2 linked regions of the Drosophila melanogaster genome follow. The main gene of each other region encodes a partner of the protein of the gene in region 2 in a complex. Each region holds a gene or a part of one and is shown on either strand. Other genes may lie near its edges.

Region 1 (8,697 bases), on a different chromosome or scaffold from region 2:
AGTAAAAGCCCAGTCCAAACAAATAAACAAATTGGAGAACGAAGTCAACAAGCTACAAAAGCAGCAAGAAGCGGCGGCGGCCCTGCATAGCAAACAAGACACTTCATTGGAGCCTAAAAATCTTAGTCAGCTAGCATATAAAATTGAGATGCAACTGTCCAAGCTAATGGAGCAGTATCTCAAGCGATATGAAAACGAGCATAAGAAGAAACTGACGGAATTCTTGGCGGCGCGGTAAGATACATATAACAAATTTTCCGGGGCACAATCCAAGTGAATACTTTTTGCAGTGAGAGCCAAAACCGAGAGCTACGTGACTCCGTGCTGCAGGTACTAAATCAGTATGTCATGAACCACTTTACGGACATTATTGGCAACGTTCTCAACATGGAACTGCAGCGCCAACTGCTTCCTCGCGTGAATGCCAACATGGATCAGCTCCAAGCCCAAATGCAAGTGGAGATTGTGCAGAAGCTGAGTGTGTTTGACAAAACGGTGAAGGAGAATATTGCCCAGGTGTGCAAGAGCAAGGTACGTAATCTGCAAGTCCATCTATAAATGCTTATAATTAAGCGTTTTTTTTTCATTACTTAGCAATTTCTGGATACTTTTGGCAAGTCCGTGTTGATTGGTGTTCAAACCAGCCTACAAACCGCCTTCATTGAATCTATGAGCAGCACCTTGATTCCAGCTTATGAGAAGTCCTCGCAGAACATGTTTAAACAACTGCATGACGCTTTCAGCGTGGGCATAAAAGACTGTTAGTATATAATCATTACAATCATAATGGATACATAAAGCTCCTTCTTTTGAATTCCAGTTATGGTCCAGTTTAACACCTACCTGCAGCACATGCCACAGCCCCAAGCCGGGAGTGGCAATACGGAGGAGATAAACAACAAGTTGTCCATGCTTAAGCAATTGGTAGAGAGCAGCTTGCACAAGCACCGCACTGAACTCACGGACGCCATGCTCGAGACACAAAGAGAAGTGAAGAGCTTAGAGATTTTGCTGGCGCGTCAGGTACAGGAAACGATCAGAGCAGAGCTACGCAAGCACATGGAAGCCCAGAACGTGGCAATGCGTTCGCAGGCAGCTACGCCTGCACCACCTTACGACCTCAGGGACAGCATTAAGCAGCTTTTGATGGCTGGACAAATCAACAAGGCCTTCCATCAGGCTCTATTGGCCAACGACTTGGGCCTAGTGGAGTTCACTCTCCGACACACGGACAGCAACCAGGCATTCGCACCAGAGGGATGCAGACTGGAGCAAAAGGTTCTACTGTCGCTCATTCAGCAAATATCCGCTGACATGACCAATCACAATGAGCTTAAGCAGAGGTGAGCTAGGAGAACTAAACAAGTAACAAAACATTACAAAGAATTACATTGATGATGTACCTTTTTCATTTGTAGATATCTCAACGAGGCACTGTTGGCCATCAATATGGCAGATCCCATTACCCGCGAGCACGCTCCTAAAGTGCTCACCGAGCTGTATCGCAATTGTCAGCAGTTCATTAAGAACAGCCCCAAGAATTCGCAGTTCAGCAACGTCCGTCTGCTGATGAAGGCAATCATAACGTACCGCGATCAGCTAAAATGATATCAAGAGAACTATAACCTGGCCAGTGGCTGGTTTTGATAGATTACCCATCCGATCCCCATCCAAGATAGTTAATCTATGACCACAAACACATTTATAAATACACGCTTGTAGTTAAGTCCAAAAAGAAGTTAGTATGCTAAAAAGCTCTCAGCTAAGTTCATCCCTTAAAAAGTTGAAATTGAATCTATGCCTTTCATTTTATTGTTTATTTGTTTTGTGCGTGATTTGTTTATAGTAAGGCCGTATATCTAATGTTTATGTCGCTATATCAAAATTGTATTATCTTTATAATGATTCGCCTACTAAATTGCAATATATTTTTTTATTATTTTATTTTTGCGTTCCTTTTATTTTCCTTTTTATCTTTATGACGCTTAATGAACAAAAGAAAACACACAAAAACAAGAATAGGAGCTGTAGAAACTTATTTAAAAATTATTTTCAAAACTAAAGCAAACTTTATTATGACGGACAAAACAAAAAAATTATTAGATTGCAAATGCAAAAACTACAAGTAAATCGTAGAATTTAAGCTAAAAAAAAAAAAAAAAAACAGAAAGCAAAAGTCGATAATAAAAAAGAATAAATGTATGTACTTGAAAAAATCTAGAAACAGTTCTTTTTGAATTATCGTAACCATATGATTTTGGTTAAGTGTATAGTTGCATAAAGCTTTTACCCTTAGCTTGGCTAGTAAGTGGTCATATATTTCTCAATGGTATGCAAATCGTACAAAAATTGTTGGCCTAATGACTAAAAAACACCTAACTATTTTGATATCCACACAGACGAAAGAAAGTTAAGTAAGATTATTTTTGAAAGGAATGCACATCACTCAAGGTCTGAATCAGCTGAGTAGGGCTAGCAGCTCTGAGGTGCGCTCCAAGCACTTGCAGCCACACGTAGCACAGACATTGTGTTTCTGAAAGTTAAACAAGAAAATAGCAAACATGAATATATTTATATCCATAAATCCATAAATCCAAATCCATACATCGTTTGGTTCGTGAAAAAGAAACCAGTCGAATCAAACTCAAATAGATACCAACCTCAAACCACTGCATCATGTGATCAATGTGACCGCCATGGCCACAAGCCAGACACGCATTGGCTGCTCCTTTCACAGGCAAACGGCAGAGGACGCAGAAGAGTACGGGTCGCTTGCAGGGCTCGCATTTGGGCGTCCGTTTGGGCTTGGCACACTTCCTGCACTCGGTAACGAATTCCACACCCTGGACTGGAGGTGGTGTATTCTGCGTGTGCTTGAGGATCAAAGCCCGCTTCGAAAGCAACTGCCAGCCAAATAAAATTTCGGCATAGGCGCGCTTAAATTGATCAAACAGTGGCATCTTAGTCCGTCTAATCAATGAGCAAGCGTATGCATCAGACTGGATTTGCTTAATCTCCAAATCCAGGGAGTCGGACCAAGAGTTGCTGCGTAGTTGCTTAAGTTGCTGCCAAGTGTTCGATGAAGAAGATGACTTGACGTCAAGCGGCAGGACCGTGTGATACGGTGAAATTTGCGAGTTAAGCTGCGGCGGAAGTCGAACTGTCTTCTCCATAATGGCACCGCCACCCGTGGGGCACTTGTCAAACAAACAAGCCAGCAGCACAGCAGTCTGTATGTCACCGGAGATAGCATAATGCATTATTAGTGATTCCAGCAGAGATTTCTTGAAGGGATCTTTGTAGAACAGCAGATCGTTGAGTGTTTCATGTGGAATTTGGGGTGTGGCTATCAGTTCCGCCAATAGCCACACGGGCACCAAGTCCAAGCGCCCATGCTGGCGACAGATCTCACCATTTTTACGACACGTTTCTGCTATGTTGCACTTATCGAGGGAGAACTCCCGAGCCATTCTCCGACTAATGTGGAGTAAGCTACTTGTGTCGTATACGTGAACCACCGGACTTCCATTCATCTGTCGGATGGCTCGCTGCTTGCCCGGTTTTCCCGAAATCATCCTCTCCTGGAGGTAAAAGGAGGCGTTAGCTTCCCTCTGGGCGGTGGCCATCACATTGCCTAGCAATCCACTACCATTAATCGATGAAAAAGTCCGTGGAGTCAATGCGGTGTGTTGCCGCAGGGTCAGCCTTTTGTTGTTCACTGGTTGGGCGAAAGTGGTCAGCATACCAATGGCATTGAAATGGACCCCTGACGTCCGCGGATATGGAATGCAGGCATCGTGCAGGGTGCTCGACAAAGCTCCTTCCAGCCGAGGGGATTGCAGGAGCAGTTGGCTACGATCCGCTCCGCCTACAGCGGCCACCTTTTTCTTCATAGCCGCCACTAGAGCACGTAGGCATTGTTCCAGGCACGTGCGGGATTTCTTGACCCGTTGCAATGCATTGCAACGGAGCACTTTTAGCAGAACTCCACTAACTTCACTGGACAGAGTGGTTCCCTGGCAAAGCTGAAAGTCCGGCGGAGCACTAGGACTTGGATACGATGTCGTGAAAGTCACTTGTAAAATAACCGTGTGTCCACCGGCGCAAATCTTGAAGCAGGCGTACCGCTTTATGGCATCTAGTGTGTCTACCTCCACATGAGGCATGTTTGTGTTGAGCAGCGAGAATTCGTGGTGCAGCGAACACGTGGGTTGATCTGTTAGTGATCTGGCTATGTGGGGCTCTTCCCTGCGATAGTAGCCACCTCCAAAGCTCGGGGAGCGAGCCATGGGCAAGGTATTACAAGCACCGTCACCCGTGGATATGGGCAACGAAGCGGCAACCAAAATTGATCGTGGATGCAGGAATTCTGGAGGAGTAGGCACTCTTAACTCACTGAGATCGGGCTCGAAACGGGATTCTATTTCTTCCGCAGACGGTTCGCAAAGCTTTAGCATATTATCATCGATCTTCCACACCCGCAGCGTGCGATCCCTGGACCAAGTGACCAGTTCCTAATTAAAGCTCAATGCATAAGTAAGAACATTGTGGTATCTTTAAAATACTTACTATTTCATTGGAACTTTCACGATTTGGACGCCAGGCAAAGTCAAGAATGACATCGGTGTGCCCCACGAAGGAACAAATAGGGTCCGTTTGCTTGCTGTTGCTCCAGAGCAGCAAACTATTCTCTCCGCGTCCCAAATGGGGCACCACAATGCTAACCAGACCGTTGCCAATAGGCTGTATGGAACAAGATGTATTTAGAATAGCAATCAATATTGATAAACCAATATAAATTACCGTGTATCTCGCTCTCCAAACGGGCGACATGGTTGTAATGATCTTCTCGGCCCTGCGAGGATTACATACATCAAAGTACTTGACCGTTCCATCCTGACTGGCGGTTGCCAAGCAGGTCTCCCTTTTGTGGCTCCAATTGATGCCATGCACTCTATTTAAATGTGCTGTGATATAGTGCGTCGGGCAACTACCCTTGCGAATATCCCAGATGCGTAAATCTCCATCATGGGCAGCAGCCAAAAGGTTGCCCGAAACGCGGTTGAATCCCACTTGTGTAGCACCAGCTGAAAGAATTTTAAATATAATATAAAAAAGTTGAAATTATTTTGTAGAAACTTACACATGCACACGGCATTCAAGGACAGGGCTGGTTTCCTGGGCTCCCTTAAGTCCCAAATATGAGAAAATGTGTCTATTGAGCAGCTGACCAGCAGATTCGGATCCTTGCCGTGCCAGTCAATGTCGGTCACTGTTCGAGTATGCCCACGCAAGGACATCTCGTAGTGTGGTTCCGCAGTGCCCCAGCGAACGATGTCTATGTGCTGGCTAGTCTGAAATTCAAAGGTCAAACTGGGATAAACGCCGCCTATACGTAGATAACTTTATGTATTTACCGCTATGGCGCAGTACTCTTTGCGACTGGGACATATGGCAAACTCTGCTACGGACACCTCGTACTTCGATTGCCGTTCATGTCGTCGCAGAGACCCATCGTCCTGTCCCAAACGCTGCAAAGCCAGGTGACCACGGCCCGCGAGGAGCACCCACTGACCCGAGTAATCAACCGACATGGCCGTGGCCTGGGAATCTCGGTGTTCATAGTATTTGTTGCTCTGCCTGACGATGTACGTTTGTTCGGGTGCTCCTGCTCCCGGTCCACCGGCTGTTCCGCGTTCTCCCGGACGCAGTGTCTCCGTGGGCGGCATATTGTCCTACTCTAATAAGTGCTCAAAAAGCAAAAGACTGCGAATTTAAACCATTTTTGCAACAAACAAAAATTAAACGAAGAAACTGAACTGATAAGAACGATAGACAATAACAACAGGCGTCTGTGTTGGCAATTAAGCATTTTTTCCGACAAATGAATTTCCAGGACCTCGTTAAGCTGGCTATTTTTCAATAATGCTGTTGCTATAGTTTTTGATAATATATTAAAAAAATTACAAAATTAAACTAGAACATTATATGAAAAAATTGTACCTAATATTTTGTCGCAAAAGTTTGTAACACCCATAAATCTAGCTGGAATAACGACAGCACAACTATAGCTGAAAATGTTGTTTTTTCGATAGTATCGATAAAATTGTGGTTATAGCTATCGGGATTTGAATTTATGATATAAAACAGGTAAACGAGCTCAGAGCAAAATTTATAATTTTATATATATGGTCTTGTTAAATAAAAACGTTCGATTTTTTTTATAGATTTATTACATTTTATAAATTGTCAATCACCAAAAATATACATGTGCATTGGTTCATAAATGTTATGAAAATTATTAAAGTACGTGGCTAAATATAATTTAGCATCTAAATAAATTTGTAACTAGAAAGGGATATTCCCAATTGACTCATTTATAAAAAGTTCATCCTATTATTCATTTATTAACTCAGCATAAGGCTATAAATCATGAGATACTAAACAAAAAGTGCATTATATATGTATATAACAACTCAATTATGGTCTACAACATTAAGTGCTACATATTTTGGATACTATTATTTATTTATATGTTCGCCACTTCCCTCCCTAGTCAGTAATAGCTTATCATTTATTTTACATACACAAAGTAATTCTGCGGTTATTACGATTATTAGTTCATTCAGTTTATTGTCCTCTAAGTTAGTGGGAAATAAACAAATTCCGCTCAACTACCGTGACTACATAGGTGCCTAAGACTGGGAACTCCTTACGGCAAAGGCTAAAATTGGATAAGTATTTTTATACAAACATTGGCTATTTCATAGAAATAAACTAGGTTTTATGGCTAAGGCTACGTTAATGGGTTTCAAGTCTTTGACGTCAAACACATCCTCCCCATCCCCGAAAGCTCCCAGTTACATTGCCATTGCCTTATCTGTGGCAATAGCAGAACATTTTTAGCGCCGGATCGTTGAGACAGTAGCTCTGGCTTCCGTACAGATTCAGACGACTAATGGTGCCCGTTAGTACGGTCGTATAGCCCGTCATCCGCACCGTGGACTCAAACACACCCAGCCCGGGCTTCGTCTGCAGTCGCAGGGTGATGTCCACTGCGTAGTCCGTGGAAATGTTCTTCACAATCTTCGAGTGCGGCGCTGCAATCAGAGCCTGGAGTATGGAGTTCAGGTATAGGGTTCTGCACTGTGAGCTATCCTTCAGTCGGTTATTGATCAAGCGTACCAGATAGCGCGCCGCCCGCTGGACACGTGGATCGTTTGTCTGCAGCTCCTGGCGCTGATGGCAGGTGCACCAGTGGGCGGCAATCCCTGCCTGCTCGCAGGTCCGAGCAGCCGGGATGGGCAGGAATAGGCTAATGCCTCTGGGCAGCGTGCTATCCGGCTCGTCCATCTCTGTTGATCTGCGTTGCAACTGATCTGCCTCCAGATTGTGAAGATTTAGCAGCTGCAACATTGTCGCGTGCACATCAAATGGTGTGGTTAGCCGGCGGGCATTTAACCTAAGATTGGCAATTGCCTCCGGATAACGCTCGGTCATCCATGGCGGATACAAAAGCATCATTAGGGGCTGGCGCTCCTCCATCATGCCCTGGTAGGTACGACGAAAGGAACCCCATCTCAGTCCGTGATCGGATAGCAACATTACCACCGTGCGATTGAGCAATCCGGAATCTTGCAGCTGCATCAACTGTTGCAACATGGCCTCATCCAGTAGTGAGGGGAAATTAAAATAGTCATGGGTTAGGGCCACCGTCCAAAAAAATGAAAAGTAAAGATCCCTGCTCATTCGTGGCACCAATTTCTTCATATACTCGAGCAGCACATCCGCCGTCCTCCGGCTGCCCATGCACAAGTGCATGTTGAGGTCCTTCTTGAAGGCCACAGTCTTTTCCATTTCCATAATCATGGGTCGCAGATAATAATCCGTTGGCTGCTTTCGGAACCCATTTTGATTGTAATTGAATGCCGAGAGCATTGCCACATCCTCGGCGAAAATGGAGCGATAACCCAGTTGCTGGTAGCGTTTCCAAATGAATGAGCACCTATCATAGGATCGCAATGTCTTTGGCGTGCAGGCCAGATTCAGTTCCTGATCATCCAGGCCACTTAGCAGGGGCACGAGATTGGGAAACGTATTGTCGCCCACCTTGTTGTAGCCCCAAAATTCCACGTGGGACAGATGCTTACGGACGTAGTTCGCTGTGCGGCGCATCTGGCGCAGGAAATTTAGATGCGACAGGCTATCCATGCCGAGTATCATTACGGATAGCCGTTCCTGCTCCTCCTTGCTCTTGTTGAAGCTCACCCTATCGGTTCCAGTCTTAAGTGGGGGCCTAATCCTTGGCTTATCGACTGCAAAAAAATGACAGTCCTTGTAGAAGAGTTTGTCCAGTGAATCATAGCACCACATGCAAATGAACTCCGAGCTGAGAGGCAGTTTCATAACTTTGTCCAGCTTAAAACTCACTGCCGGACTGTGGGTGTTACTAGAATCGGTTTTGCGCTTCACCTCCGTATAGTTGCAATTAACGGAGGACAGGTCACTGATGTTGTAGTATGCGAGCAGCTCACTGGCCTCCAGATTGAGATGCAGCTGTCCGGGAATTGTGTCGCTCGTCCGGATCAGAGCTCTGTTGCAGCTGTACGGACGTGGCTTGAAAATGAACTGGGCAATGGTGTCGTCGCTGACCTCAAAGTGTGGCATCCGGCAGCCCGTCGTGTCAACGAAATAGGC
Region 2 (7,755 bases):
GTGATTCGGGCGACCTACCACGTTCGCGACCATGTGAGAGACCCCTGAGCTTTGACTTCCCACGCGGCGAGCAGCGCAACCACCACCCACCAGCGATTACAATATGCCCCAGACAGGGGTGGTTCGTCCTGGCCCAGAGATCGGCGTCAACACCATCGCCTTCGACGTAATACACACGTCAAAACTTCCAATTAGAGACAATCATTCGGATCTGGGACAGGGAACTTGTGATACCGAACCGGGGTGGTTTCATCGGTGACTACAAAAGCCATCGAGCTGGTCGGACGGATTTCATTCTTTGGATTACCAGCAGAGCAACAGGATCGCAAGGACGAAGCCCGCGGAGGGGTGGTTGCATATCATTATTATTATTATAGTTTTGTGGTGTCATCGAAAGTGCGATGATTTCGTTTTTATTGCGGTTCGAGTCAATTAAGTGGAATATTTCGCGACATTTCTGAATGCTTTTCCGTGTTAAACATAATAAAAACCCTGTTTTTGGGCACTTGTCGGCGTCCTAGTTAATTTATGCACATGTGGATGGAATGTAAATGGAAGTGCACTTGAAAGGGATTTATGATCCATTTATGTACTCCCGTGTGAGGAGTTAATCGAGAATACATAGCCCATAAATAAATCTCAATAAAATCGATTTGAATGCAACCACTGAACCCGAAAATGCCTTTTCCTCCTCACCTCTGCTGGTCCCGACCCACTCGAATGGGATGGATCTATCTCGGATTTGGCCTGTGCCATGGGGTTTTTTAAAATAGCTAGCACATCAGATCTGCCGCTCTCCCTCAAACACACACATGTGACCGTATGGAGAGTGCTTGCCATTATAGTCACTATCTCTAGTGCTCGCTCTTTCTCGTTGTGTGAACTTTAATTCTGTTTTGATTCTTCGCCTTTCGGGAAGTTGTCCAAAATCAATAGTTGCTCTAGTTTGCCAGCCGGCAGGCAGAAGTTGAAGTAACATCCCATTGTTTTTTTATTAGTTTCTGGCACTTTGGAGCATTGAGAGCTCCACGTTTTGTGATGTAACGCGAAAATGCCCTAGGAAAAGCGATCTGAGGAACACTGAACTGGGGAAATGTGGACCAGAAAGCTATTCATTGGATTCGCAAGAATGCCGGCTTCTAATCCGAGATGTAAGTGGTGGTATCAAAACACACAGGCCTTCCGAATATTCGTTTAGACCCATTTCGTATGGGAAGTATCCACGAATTACGCAAATGATGCGATTCCAACTTTATAGCAAAACGTACAATCCGACAATAACCGAGTAGATTTATTGATTCATGATTCGGGACTACTAAGATTCGTTGTGTCTTCTGGTGCGCGACGAACACTACGTGGACTATTCCGCACAGTGATATAAGTTTGGTTCATGGTGGCACCAAGATAAAGTTTAATCAAAAATATTTTTCTAGAAAATTATCGTTCCACGGAATCTTTAAAACGATTGAATAATGCGTAAACCCATTGATAGTTCACTTCATTAATAACATTAACATTAATACCGTGAACTCTAAACATAACTAAAGAAAACCACTCATATTGAAAGGCAAGCGGCTGAGGTTTAACTTAGGAATTTATTCGGAACTCTTACAATTAAGAACAAGATCAGTGCCACGGCACCTGGTTGCCGATGGTGCCCTTTTTGTAGAACTTGGCCGTGGCCGAGGCGGTAGTGGCCAGTGTCGGAGTGGGCGGAGCAGGCTCGTAGGTGGGTCCGCTGCCCTCTGCCTTCAAGACGGCGGCACAGCGCCACTGCCGGTTGTAGTTCATTCGCCACAGACGCACACAACCGTCGTCGCCCGTGGAGATCAGCATCGTGGCCAGCATATTCCAACAGACGCGCCACACTGGGCAATTGTGCTCGCTAAACTTAATGGTCTGGATGTCCAACTTGGAGATGTCCGTGGCGTCCCTTTAATTATAAAAATTATTATTATTAAATGATTTTGGGTCTTTAAATTGTCGATCTTACGTTACACCCCGCAAGTTCACAATATAAAGATCCTTGCTGGCCACTGCCAGCATGTGAAAGGTGCGTCCGGCATTTGGAGCAAAGGCCACATCCGTGACCGGATCGGTTATATCATTGACAGTATCGATTTTAACGCACTTTCGGGAATTCTCGCTGTAGGCGAATAAGAAGACCTTGCCAGTAGGCGTGGCTGCCTCGTCGCTGCCCGCCTGCAAAATAATTTATGAAAATTAGGCTTATTCTTACTCCACAGATAATAGAATTAATCCTTAATAGACTAAGACTTGGAATTTAAATATACTCACCGCCAGCAGCTGGGTGACCATGTAAGTGGAAGTGTTCCAGGACAAACAGCTCAGCGGCAATTTGTTGCTAATCTCGTGCTGCACGGGCCACTGCGAGAGGTTCATAATGTCCGGGGCCTCATAGATGCGAATAATGCCGTCGGCGGAGGCGGTGGCCAGCAGGAGTCCCAGGTACTTGGGTGCAAACTCCACATCCGTGACACTGGTCCGCGAGTCTACAAGGGTGGTGCGGCGCACCCAGCGGCGAGTGGGGGTATTGGTGGAGGATACCTTTTCGCCAATCACCTCCTCCCAAACGGAGGCGGTGCGATCAAATGAGCATGTGGCCACAACCTGGCCAAATTCCGGGTGCGCCCAGGAAACGCGCCAAATGGAGCCGGAGTGCGCTTTCCAGCTGCTCGTGACATTCCACTTGCCCTGCCCATCCTCGTCCCAAATCTGCAAGCAGAAAATCCGGATCACCTAGGCTGTTTATCGTAGGAATAATTCGAGTCCTCACCTTGACGGTCTGATCGCTGGAACAGGTTGCCATCCTGCGGCCGTAGTAGTCGAAGACCACGTCGTGTATCACATCCTTGTGGTCGGCAATAATGGGTTCCACGTCGAACATGATAAAAACTCAACTTATTTACCGAAATGTTGTTTATAAAATGCACGCGCCGAAAAATCTGCGCCGGTAATGCAGCCCTACAAGGAGAGACAGGGTTGGCTTGCAAACAGCCGCCGAACAGCTGTTGTTTACCTTGCTCAGTATTTTTTCAGTACGCCCAGGCGAACGGTCACACCGAGTTAGTGGTCCGAATTACGCGTGAAATACGAATAAAAAATCGAGCGAAAAATAACAAAACACAGTACTCTAGTCGATCACAAGCTGATAACGTATCAGCCGTGCCACACGCCCATCCGGGATTCGCGAGAACCACACTAGTCGGAGAGTCAGGACTCCAATAGCCGCCAAGAGGCCGTTTTGCACCCGGAAAAGAACAGTTACACACAACAAAATTGCCAACCGAAAGAAACGTGCGAAGCGCAGTGCGATGGAGAAGAGTAAGTGCGGTAATCTAAGCACTAAACGGGTAATTACGGCCCGATCCTATACGATACGATCCGAGCGAAATGTATGCGCATATGTGTATGCAAATGAGTGGGGTGAACAACCCCACAGCATAGTCGTATGTAGATCGGGACCCGCGTTTGTTTAGCATTTGAATTCGCTGGCTAAAGTGCGGATTTCAATCAAAGTGCAATGGGCAGCATAAATTCCAATTGCTTCCATCTGCAATATGCTCAATATGTCTTGCCTTGCTCGCCCTCTCTCGCTCGCGCACTCGCTGCTGACCTTGATTCCTATTGGATTTTACACATCGCGCGATGCCCGTGACGTATGTGTGTGTGTGTGTATGGGCGAGAGAGCAGCATAGCTGCCAACGTGTGTGTATGTCGGCCGGCATCAATTACCTAATAAGAACTAAATTGGAGACTGCATTTCTTGTTGGTATTGTATTGCATAAATACGATATAAGTATATTTATGAAATATGAGCATATCACAAGGACTCGAATCGGAAATTCAATCCAACGCAGTCACTACAAATTCGTAGTATTTTGCTAAGAAATTAAAAAACAATTTAACTGTAAACCGTGCACTTTACAGTGTCTACAAGATTTCAAGTGTGTTATCACGCACAAATCGGTTGTTTGTTGCTCTGTAGAAATCCTAGAGATAAGCACATCGAAATCAGGCGTTTCACACGCGACCGACTTTCGGTTCTATTATTATTTGGCTGTGATATCAGTAGACGGTTTTTTTCTGGCCACGCGCCAAACATGAATAATTCGAACAGAATCGAACACCGAAATACAAAAATTTCCGTGCGATAAGATGCCGGGAAAGATTTGGAATTGAGCCCGAGCCGAAACCATGAAGACCCGTCACCGTTAAGTATTAATCATAATCGGTCGCCAAGGCCAATGCCGAAATCGGAAGATTTTTCAGGCACTCGCCGCCTATCTGAGATTAAAGCGGGCGTCGCGTCGGGAATTTCTTTTATGACTTTTAAAAAACCTCTGCTGATGCCGGGAGCAGCGAGCATCACGGAATGAAAACAAATCAGCGGCGTTCGCGTGTTCTGCTCGTGGCAGCGCACTGAATTCGTTAATAATAATTCGATTCAAGTGCATCGCGCTAATCAATTTCTGGCGTTTTCGCCCATTTAACCCTAATCAGCATCGCTTGCCACTTACGCCAGCAAATTGAGAAATTATGGTCGTTGTTGTTGCTGCTTGCTGCTCCCAGCAGCAGAGTGCATTTCCGTCAGCGGTTGGGTCAACTCCCAGATTAAGTCCAGCTGGAGCAGCAACAACAACAACAGCAGTACCGAATGCCATCGGCGACCTTGACATTGAAAAGCTACCGCCGCCCATGAGACAGAGATACATGGAAGAGAAAAGAGCGGGACGCACTGCTAGTGACAGAGAGGGGTAGACGGTTGTTGGCAACAGCTGATCGCCATCATCATGTCGCTCTTATCTTTTATCAGCCGCAGACCGTTAAGGTATAATTGCTGTGCAACAGTGGAACTTTCCTATAGTGGAACTCACTGATGTTAAGCTGATTGCGATTGCCGCTGGAAGGGCATGCTTTTATGGTTAGTTTTTATGAGTTTTTAGTTTGGAAACTACGCAAAAAATCCAATATAAAACAAAATGTCATTGTAGTTATTCCAGAACTTGTTGAATCGGTATATACAGAAACCTTATTCATCACTGACGACAATAAAGAAATGATTTTGTTAAATATTTCTCTGGTGCCACTGTACCCAGCATTTATTTATTCGGACATTGTTATGGCATAATTGGTTCACAAAAAGATCACTGAAACCGACGGAGCACACTGGTCGTCATTACTTGAGCCACCTTCATAAAAATTGTTATTAATCCGGCAGGTTGCCCCGCTTAATTCGACCGCCTTTCTGTTCGAATTAGTGGCGCTCCTTGTACATATGTAGTTCTTATGTAGTACATAGTGCACATATATTCCTCCTGGTCACTTGGCGCTGGCTGAGCCAGCAATAAGCAAAACAATAACACAACAACAACAACAACAATTGGCTTGGCGACCCGCGAGACCCGCTGGCGATTAACATACGAGCGCAACAACCTGAACACGCACAAACACAGGTCCGCGCACGAAAACCTGGCCGTAGACGTAGTCAAAGCTATAGCTATAGTTGATATTGATAGTGGCGACGCCGAAGTCGGCGTCCGCTGCGCGTTCGGAGAAGCGGCGTTCAGGCATCGATAGTGCTTTTCGGACGAGCATGGCCCAGTTGAGTTCCAATCGTCGGTCACTGCAGTAGCCATCTAGAAATCGTGCGGAACCAGTCAGTCTAGGAAGTTCAAACCGATCCTACACGGTCTACTACAATCCGATCCGATCCGGTCCGACCTCGTCTTCGAAACTGCCATCACAAGCTAAACAAGGGCACACGCAGAGTGGTAAAGCGAGCTGAAACCGTAGATCTAAATCCTAAGACGAACTAAACCCAAAACACAACCGTATCATATCCAGCCAAGGTCCCGAAAAGTGCTGCCCTAGAGATAATCGCACGTCGAGTAAGATTCTTTTGTTTTCGACTGTTGAGTAATGCCAGCAGAGTTCTTATCACAGGATCGGTGGTAAATAAAGCACAATTAAAAGACTCCATCCATTGCGAGGGTGCGCACTAACGGAGCTACTTGAGTACGGGACCGGGCCACACCTGTTGAGTCGTTTCCAGCGCAGAGTGTAACCCAAGTCCCAGTTCTCTGCGCGATTTCCGAGTAAGCGGTTACATAACACCCCGCTGGTTGCCAGAGATCGATTCCGGTGTCCAATCCGACTTTCCGTGTCTTTCAATGCCCGCCGCCTGGCTGGCACACTTACACACGTGCACACATGTATACTGTAATGCCAAAATCATTGACCTCTTCTGCTGGCCATACCACACCGATTTGCATTTCCTCACACCAACCAACCAACTGGGGGGGTTTTGTTTCTGTCAGCTTAAGTTTCTTCAATTTTCCCTTCGCGCTCTTCGCCGTTTTGTTTTAATTTTAAATGCGCTGCACATTGAACCTCATATCCGAAATTAATTTTCGTGTTTTTAAGTTTTATCGCCCTGCCAAAGGGTATCTAAAGTAGATTATTTAGTAGTGAAGCCATCTTTGACCCGGAAACAGCTTGAGCTCCTGTATTTTCGTATAGTATATTGAAAACTTTGATATGTACTTAGATTGAAACTTTTCAAGTGATATATGCAGGTGTAATAGTGTTGATTAAATCGTAATTCGACACCTGTCACTAATTACGTAGTTGCTAAACATAATATTCACTTGCGCCTTTACAACGTACTTTGAAATACTTATTGCATACTTTTGAAGTCACCCGCTTGATCTGTAGATTAGTTTGAATTTCCCGTAGAGTATACCTTATTCGTTGACCACATCTCTTATCAGCTGCCTCATTGACCTGGCAACGATTTATTTTTGGGTCTCATATGGTTGTTTTTTCGGTTTCTTAATTGTATCTCGCAAACTAGTTAATGCATTGATTAGCATTTTCATTTTGTTTTGTTTCGCCGCTTTGGCCTACAATATCGTGGCAAGGTTTTTGAACTTGAAAAGTATCCGAAACAAGATGATGCACAGGCACTTTCACTATCTACACACTGTAAACTAACCCAGCTAGCTGGCCACCAGATAGCAGATTATCTAATCCGATTTGCATTCACCGATTTAAAGCAGCTTTTTGGATTTAGCCGATGTTGATCACGATATTAGGCACTCTGGCTGCTTTTCTCGCATTCCTCTTGACATTGATCTTTGGCCGCGGCCAGAAAAGATCCAAACCCGTCCAATCGTCTGCAGCAACATCCGCCACGACAGCAACAACTGGCGACAGCGACAACGGCAACACCAATCGTAAGAATCCCCCACTTTGCTAAACCGAAACACTTGAAGGGCACACAAATCGCACACCTAGCTGATAACCCAGTTTAATTAGTTCATTATGTGTATACGACTTTTGACCACGACTCACGCGTACCTTGTTTTCCTTATCTCTGCTTACAGACAACTCCAGCGTGATTGCAGCTACAGCAACGGCAACAACCACCAGCAGCAAGCCTCCTATTGCTCCAGCAGCACCTCCTTCGGCGGTAAAAGCGAGTGACAAGCGATTCCCCAAGGCGTGCATCAAGAAGGTCCAGTTCTCCAGCGAGAGCCTCCGGTCCGACGTGGATGAGCTGTGCGACCAGCTGAAGGATAGCGCACTCAGCAATCTGAGCAACGACAACATTCGCATTGCCTGCCACCAGAACAACAACAACAGCAGCATCAACAAGAACCAGAACAACAACAGCATCGACATCAGCATCAGCATCAGCAAGATGAGCGAAACAAATGAGTCCAATGACAC

Evidence for each region. Proteins that work in one complex are often made in the same cells at the same time.
Region 1: Nup44A (region 2) and Wdr59 share a complex: the UniProt entries of both Drosophila melanogaster proteins name them as parts of the GATOR complex.

The regions. Positions count from the first base shown.
Region 1 is NT_033779.5:11,088,599-11,097,295, reverse strand, and holds Wdr59 (WD repeat domain 59), read right to left. Parts: upstream 5,853-8,697; 5' UTR 5,730-5,852; coding exon 5,418-5,729; intron 5,355-5,417; coding exon 5,144-5,354; intron 5,088-5,143; coding exon 4,804-5,087; intron 4,744-4,803; coding exon 4,570-4,743; intron 4,515-4,569; coding exon 2,661-4,514; intron 2,534-2,660; coding exon 2,459-2,533; 3' UTR 2,200-2,458; downstream 1-2,199. Other genes in the region: Ge-1, read left to right, coding at 1-234, 291-531, 595-760, 821-1,343, 1,419-1,608; CG16854 (uncharacterized protein), read right to left, coding at 6,877-8,697. UniProt on the Drosophila melanogaster protein: A component of the GATOR complex, which functions as a regulator of the amino acid-sensing branch of the mTORC1 signaling pathway.
Region 2 is NT_033778.4:7,985,106-7,992,860, reverse strand, and holds Nup44A (nucleoporin at 44A), read right to left. Parts: upstream 4,400-7,755; 5' UTR 4,352-4,399; intron 4,330-4,351; exon of another isoform or gene 4,234-4,329; intron 3,346-4,233; exon of another isoform or gene 3,147-3,345; intron 3,030-3,146; 5' UTR 2,909-3,029; coding exon 2,798-2,908; intron 2,737-2,797; coding exon 2,299-2,736; intron 2,203-2,298; coding exon 1,994-2,202; intron 1,934-1,993; coding exon 1,627-1,933; 3' UTR 1,578-1,626; downstream 1-1,577. Other genes in the region: ACC (Acetyl-CoA carboxylase), read left to right, coding at 7,100-7,259, 7,410-7,755. UniProt on the Drosophila melanogaster protein: Probable component of the nuclear pore complex (NPC). Involved in maintaining the localization of another nucleoporin Mgtor to the nuclear envelope of early meiotic female germline cells.